Canis lupus familiaris: one gene and its partner. The protein of the gene in region 1 purifies or fractionates together with the protein of each later gene. This does not show direct contact. Links are inferred from orthologs where the notes say so. Each region holds a gene or a part of one and is shown on either strand. Other genes may lie near its edges.

Region 1 (3,500 bases):
CACAGAAGCCTAAAAAGCTATATCTTAAATAGTAAAAAATTGGGGATCCCTGGGTGGCGCGGCGGTTTGGCGCCTGCCTTTGGCCCAGGGCGCGATCCTGGAGACCCGGGATCGAGTCCCACGTCGGGCTCCCGGTGCATGGAGCCTGCTTCTCCCTCTGCCTGTGTCTCTGCCTCTCTCTCTCTCACTGTGTGCCTATCATAAATTAAAAAAAAATTTAAAAAAATTAATTGTATTAGTGATTATCCAATAGTATTAGAGGAAAAATTTTCCAATAGTGAAAATTGGCAAAATTAGAGAAGCAATGAGAAGAATGATATATAACCAAAAATATTCAATCCAGAACAACTACCTAACCTGGCCTTTTCCTAGGAGAGTTATATGGAGCACCAATATATTATGGTATGGCATGCTGTAATTTATCAATGGATGTTTTCCCAAGAATTTTATTATAATCAAATTTGCAAAATCCTGCACATTATATTCTCTTCTTGTGAGCAGTGCTGCATCTAAATTTTCTGAGAAGTATTTAATTGGAAATATGTAGGTATTTCTTATTATGGTAAAATACACATAGCATAAAATTTACCATTTAAAAATGTACAATTTGGCATCATTAATTATATTCACAATGTTGTATAACCATCACTACCGTCTCCTTCAAGGTAGATAACTTTGTGCTTGCCAATTTGACCATGAAACAGTTTTCTTCCAGAATATCTTCCAGAATATGTCCAGAAAATATAGTTATAGAAATACTGATCTAATCCAATCCTCTTAATTTAAAAATTAAAGATAGAAAGTGTGATTTTGAGAGATTAAATGCCCTCCTCAAGATGACACAGCTAGTCGGGATACAGCAGGTCAGGATCTCGTTCTTATTTCCCACTTCAAGAACAGGGGCTTTTCTATTTCTAGGTATTTTCCCCTTGTTTCCATCTGATGATCCAGTAATTTACAAATGATACATTACCATGGTAACCAGAGGAATTCAGGATTAAAACAAATATATTTCTTTTTAAAAGCTACATTGTACTGGTTTTGTAACTCACAACTCTTTAATTTACATAATTCTTCTGTTCTTAGGTCTTTTTAAGATTGTGGCTGATAAAACTCCATACCTCACTATGGAAGAAATAACACGGACCATTCATATTGGATCAAGTAGACTAGGGCATCCTTGTTTCTATCATCAGAAGGACCTAAAGCTAGAGAATCTCACTATAAAGCAGGGTGAGCAAATCATGCTCAACTCGATTGAAGAGATCAGTGGAGAAATCATGGTGAACTGTGGAGTGGTAAGGAGTCACCAAAATCACTCGTTTACTTTGCCTTTGTCACAAGAAGGAGAATTTTATGAGTGTGAAGATGAACATATTTATACCTTAAAGGAGATTGTTGAATGGAAGATACCCAAGAACAGAACACGGACTGTGAAGCTTACAGGTTTTTCAAATAAGTGGGACTTAACAAATCCATTCCCTAAAGGCTTTTATGGTGCTCTGATTCTCAAGCCTGTTTATGAAATTCAAGGTGTGATGAAATGTAAGTATCCACTGAGAATGTTGTTCTACGAGGGTGAGCACTGTGGGATTTGGGAAAGAGGAAGGCTTTAGAGTTTGAAGAATGCGACCCTGTCCCTGACTTGTCCTTTAAGCCCACTGAGAGTAAGATTCTGATCTATAAATAAGTAAACCATGTATTTGGCACAAGGATAAAATTGAATAATGCGTATAAATACGTACTGTAAATTGTGAGGTGCTATCCAAATGCAAGTTGCGGTAATTGGCAGGTGCAGACAGGTTAACCTACCAAGTCATTTCTATCACTGCTGGTTAAACATGGTCAGAAAAGAGCTACTTTTAAAGATAGAGCCTATTTGGTTAGAAAGAGTCTTTCTTGTATGGAGGTGGTCAACAAAGTGATAAAGATACATAGTTTCCTAATATGTCCCTTACTGCTATTTTTGTGATAGCTTCCCACCCCCACCCCCCCTGCCGGCTACTCATCATTGGTCATAGATCTTATTAGCTGGAAGTCCCTCTGACTTACAGGAAATGATGTGACAAATTAATTGACACATAAGTGTGTTTTAATATGTAACCTATATAGGATTGTGTGCATTTAAAAATAGGAATAGCCAGAGAGAGCACTGTTACCCTAAAGGAATTAATATTTTGAGTTTTCAAGATTATGGCACATCAATGGGCAACCATGGAGCAAAGAGTTCTGCATTTGCAGTCAAAAGTCCTGGATTCTAACTCTCAGTCAATAACTTAATGGGTGGTGACTTTGAGCCATTTAAACTGTGTCTTTGCAAAAGGGATGATGACAGCTCTTTACCTACCTTTTAGGGTTGTTTTGAGAATGAAATAAGATTGTATTAAGATACTAAATATAATACACTGGAGGAAAAAAAGCAGTATGCAAAAATGTTTGGTCAGAGGGTATCTCTTGGCTCTCTCAAAAAAAATTTTTTTTGGCTCTCTCAAATTCTATTTATCTCTGCTCCCATAGATACTGTTGGTCACTTACATAAATATGAAAAAAAGTCTGATGTGAACCTTTGTGTAGGTTTTAGAACTACATGTTAAATTTTGTTACATGTAAGTAATTTAACCAGAAATTAATTAATTTATCTGAATTAAAGTTACAGGTAAGGAATTCCTCAGTGATTATATTTTAATACTTACTGCAAAAAATTGAGGCCACGGCAGGATCATTTTTTAATATGGCAAAAAAACAGAAGTTGCAGCAAATTTTAGACCTCACGTTAGTGTTTTGTTAGCTATCCCAAAATGTGTAATTGAAATTGATAATTGAATTTTCCTCAATTTTCGTAAATAATGGATATCGCATTTTCTCATCTTAAAATTTGTTAATTTTTAAAAATCATTGTCATCTCCTATTATGTAGCTGCAAATGTAGAGCAACCCAGAACCTAAGCATGCGAACAAGGTGGTTGCTGCATTTAAGGAATTTAGATTAGGGATCAACAAGGCTTCTCTGAAGAAATGACATTTAAACTAAGACCTGGAGGATGAACAGAAGATTATCAGGTAAAGAAAGAGAGCACAACATTGCAGGAAGTGATAGCAGTTTTCAGGAAGGCAAGTAAGCAAGATATTGGAGCTCCAGCGTAGCTGGTATGAGAAAAGAGAGGACAGGTTGAGACAAATATCAAAACATGCAACGGGGTAGTGGAATCAGTCATGGAGAGACTGAAATATATGTTAAGGGGTTAATACTTGTCAAAAGAGGAAATTAATACAGGATTTCAGTCGAAGGGACAGGGTCAAAGGAGTGTAAGGAGGCCATTGGGTTTATGGCAGGTTATTGGGGATTAATACAACAGTGATATCAGCAGGACTCTTGCTCCTAATGGGTATTTAAGAAGTACAACCAGCAAGATTTGGAAGTCTATGGGAAGGAAGAAAAAAGCCAACCTGATCCCAGGCTTCTGGCTTGATCTAGTTGGATGATGATACGGTTTACTAAAT
Region 2 (4,072 bases), on another chromosome or scaffold:
GAGCCTAATTTAAAATAAGATTCACAGGTAATTCTTTTTTTTTTTTTTTTAAGATTTTATTTATTTATTCATGAGAGAGAAAGAGGCAGAGACACAGGCAGAGAGAGAAGCAGGCTCGTAGCAGGGAGCCTGATGTGGGACTCGATCCCAGAACCCCGGGATCACGCCCTGAGCCAAAGGCAGATGCTCAACCTCCTGAGCCACCCAGGCATCCCAGATTCACAGGTAATTCTTAAGCATGCTAAATTTTAAGAATCACTGCTGTACTAGTAGAATGCCTTAACCAGATTTCAAACTTTGCATTCCAGATAATGCACTACAATGTCTTTGCATAAAATAAAAGTAATGCACATTCACTTGGCTCAACTAGGAAAAAGCCAACTTTAACAAATAAAACCAAGGGCTCTCAATAGCCTTTCAGTAGTGCTAGGAAAGTCTTTTGAACTAAGCAAGGAACTATTAATTTCTCTCAGGAGAGCATGGTACATCTCTATTCTGTATTAATTTCTCCAAAATCTATTATTATTTTGTTCTAGGCAACAATCAGAACTGCTGCTGCACAACAGGCAACATAACAGCAATTTCTCAAAAAAACTGCTAAGTACCATCAACTAGTAGTATTTAAAACCCAGCAATCCCTCAAATCTGAATACACTTGCTAAGGGAGTAAACTGCCTCAAGCACTTAAATGCTTGCTTTTAGTATCAAAGAAAGCCAATTACAAGAATTAACTTCGGTTTTTATTTTGGGAATTCAGAAAATTTTGGACAAAGGAAGGAGTAATGAAACAGTTATTTATATCGAAAAAACCCCAAGAACAGTAACAACGATGCCCCATTAGAAGAACCCTGGTAAAGAATCCAATTGCCACAATGGGCAAGTTGTTTTTTTTTTTAAATATTTTATTTTATTTATTCATGAGAGACACAGAGCGAGAGAGAGAGAGAGAGAGAGGCAGAGACACAGGCAGAGGAGAAGCAGGCTCCATGCAGGGAGCCCGATGTGGAACTCGATCCCAGGTCTACCAGGATCACGCCCTGGGCTGCAGGCAGCGCTAAACCGCTGCGCCACCGGGGCTGCCCAATGGGCAAGTTTTAATTCATCAGTGATCTAAAGAAATTCTATTCCCTTAAATATTTAATGTTATCTTAATTCTACTGTAACATAGGTCTAAGGTTGGTTTTCATTTTCTAACACACACCACTCCCACTAAAAGCCGAAAAAGAAGTCCTACAAACCCCAAATTGACCCAATCTTCCTTACTAGTATAAAAGAGACATAGGAAGAAAAGTGTAAGCAGGCACAAAAGCACAATGTTAAAATGAAGAGAACAACTAAAACACAAATAACACAAGCAAGCTACACTTGTGACCTAGTGGCAGTATTGATTACTTACGGATGAATTCAATCCTTTGAGCCTCCCAGTTCCCAGGGGGAGAACTTAAAGTCTCCCAAGGCTCTCTGGCAACTCTTCTGGCTGACTGAAGGAACACAGTGGACGCTTCAAAGTGAAGGATAAAGCAGGAAAAAGGGTATCTTCCCCGGAGAGAAAACGGAATCTTTAAATGAGGGAGAAGACAAACTGCACCAAAGGGCAGAAACCTTGAAAAATTATGCCAAAGAGGGGACAAAAAGGAGGAAGGGGAAGTAGATTAGAAGAAGGGGGGGAGGGATGAGCAAATGACTTGCATTACACAAGCAAACACTTAGTGTCCCCAGTGAAAATGGAGACAAGTAGGTAGAAAGGGAAGGCAACTACTGGAGAAGTATAAAGTGAGAGAGAGAGACAGGAAAGCCAAAGAGATATGCTATCTTCTTTCATGTGTCTTTTGGGCTCTTTTCTGAGTCAACAGTACCAAAAGACACAGGTCGAGTGCACTTCGGCTCCTCTGCAAATCGTACCTTTTGGAAGAACTCCCTAAACGAGCTGTTAACTCACGGGGCGTATATGGAGAGCGATGCAAATGAAAAATACCAGTGCCTTCCTTATCCTCTTGCACAGAAACCTTTCCTCGGAGCATTTCCAACCAACTGCTGCTTATTGTTCTTTACAAGTATTTTTCAGTGTAGTTTCAAAAAAACAAAAACAAAAAAACTAGACATCTCAGCTGGCTCCGGCAGCAAAAGTTCTAAATCACGGTATTCATAGGGTCGGTGGGCTCCCTCCCCAAATTCTGGCCCAAAGACACCGGGAGATGGTGACGTGGTGGCCGTGCAGGTCGCAAGAGCATCAATCACCACACTTGCAGCCGCGGCGAATCCCCCGCCTCCCGGGCCGGGCCGAGTCAGACTGACTCACAGAATGAGTACCCAGGGCTCCCGGGGTTCTCCCGGGCCCCTCTGCGCAAGCCGTCCCCCGAGAAAGCGTGAAACTTAAAGAGGCGCACCCGGCCTCCTGCCCCGAGCTAAGCTAAGGGAAGGACGGTCCCCAGGAAGGAAGCGCCCCAAAAAGGGAAATACGGAGCCCGGGGGACTCCGTTCTCCGCGCCAGGCCTCGTCGCCCCGACCCTGATCCCCAACCCTGGCAGCCCTCGGTAGACCGGGCCCGGTCCTCGCGGGCCACCTCCCGCTGCCGAGCAGGGGAGCAGCAGCACCGGAGCAGCAGCAGCGCCGCCGCCGCCGCCGCCGCCGCCGCCGCCCGTACTCACCGTGGCGCAGCAGCTCCGCTCCGCGCCCGGCCGACCCGTCTGCAGCGGTGCGAGCGGCCGCGGACCGCGCTGCTGCTCCCCGAGGGCAGCGCCTGCTCCCGCCGCCGTCGCCGCTTCAGTCTTCGTCGCAGCCGCCGCCGCCGCCGCCCGCTCGCTCGCTAGCAGCAGCAACACAGCCGCCTGGCTTCCGCTCCTCGTCGGGGTCCCGCGAGAACTTCCCCGCGCGGCCCCGCCCCGTCCCGCCTCGCCCCGCCCCCGCGAGACTTCCCCCGGCGGAAAAGGCCCAGAGCGCACGCGCTCCTCCTCGGCCGGGGCCCCGCAGGTAGCCGCCGTCTAGACGCCAGGGCGCCTGCGCCAGACCGCCCCGGAGCAGGTGGCACCCACGTGGCCCCGCCTCTGGGTCGCTGTAACCCTCTCTGTGCCAAGGAGGGTAGATGACAGCTGAGCCCTGAAGGAGCAACTCTTCATCACAGCCTAATCACTTCCCTTTTCCTGCCATCAAACCGAGGATTTTGCCGGGGGATGTCGGAATCTCCCTCTATCCTGAAGCGCTCCAAATAGAGGACCAGCTTTTGAAATGCTTGAGAATTCGGTCCAAACCGCACTGTTAGACGAATGAACATATTCTTCGCTCATGGGTCTAATCAAGTGCCTGATGTGTGCTAATCCTAGGCATAGGTATAGGTATACAGGTGTTGGGTAAAGAGGTACAATGATGAACAGGTATCTCGGCCCTCGAGGAAATCGAGGAAATCGCGGTCTACAGGAGCCGGAGAGGGAGGCTTGGCTGGCTCAGCGGTTGAGCATCTTTCTTTGGCTCAGGTCGTCATCCTTGAGTCCCTGAACCGAATCCCACATTGGGCTCCCTGCATGGAGCCTGCTTCTCTCTCTGCCTATGTTTCTGCCTCTGTGTGTGAATAATAATGAATAAATGAAATCTTATGAATAATAAATGAATAAATGAATAAATAAAATCTTAAAAAATGAATTGAATAAATCAAATCTTGAATAAATAAAATCTTAAAAATGAATTGAATAAATAAAATCTTGAATAAGTAAAATCTTTTAAAAAATTAGAGGAGCGGAAGAAAACAAAAAAATGCCATATGCAATGTTAGAATTATTTGGGAGAATGCTGAGGAAGCTAAAAAGATGGGAGGGAGAACTGCTACTCTGCCCATCTCAGAATAGCCTCCCAGAGAAGGTGATGATGATGTCTGAGCTGAGTCTTGGAGGACGAGTAGGAGTTCACTAGACGGAGCTGTCGGGGAAAGGCGCTTCGGGCGAAGGGAACCGCATGCCTGTACAAAGGAACGGAGGCGTGAGAGAGAGTCGTGTTCTGTGCGATGCTAAGTTGTTCGATTCCTGTGTGAGGCGGGTGAGAACGGGGGAGCAGCAGATGAGGCTTGAAGAAGTAACTCCTA

The links. The genes of interacting proteins can lie anywhere in the genome.
Region 2: the proteins of THEMIS (region 1) and GRB2 purify together in Homo sapiens (co-immunoprecipitation; 6 studies listed by BioGRID and IntAct, counting the BioPlex papers as one, with this or other methods). This does not show direct contact. The link is inferred for Canis lupus familiaris from reciprocal best matches to the Homo sapiens genes THEMIS and GRB2.

Annotation. Positions count from the first base shown.
Region 1 is NC_049222.1:67,028,110-67,031,609, reverse strand, and holds part of THEMIS (protein THEMIS), read left to right. Parts: intron 1-1,086; coding exon 1,087-1,545; intron 1,546-3,500.
Region 2 is NC_049230.1:5,987,318-5,991,389, reverse strand, and holds the start of GRB2 (growth factor receptor-bound protein 2), read right to left. Parts: upstream 2,801-4,072; 5' UTR 2,649-2,800; intron 1-2,648. UniProt on the Homo sapiens protein: Non-enzymatic adapter protein that plays a pivotal role in precisely regulated signaling cascades from cell surface receptors to cellular responses, including signaling transduction and gene expression.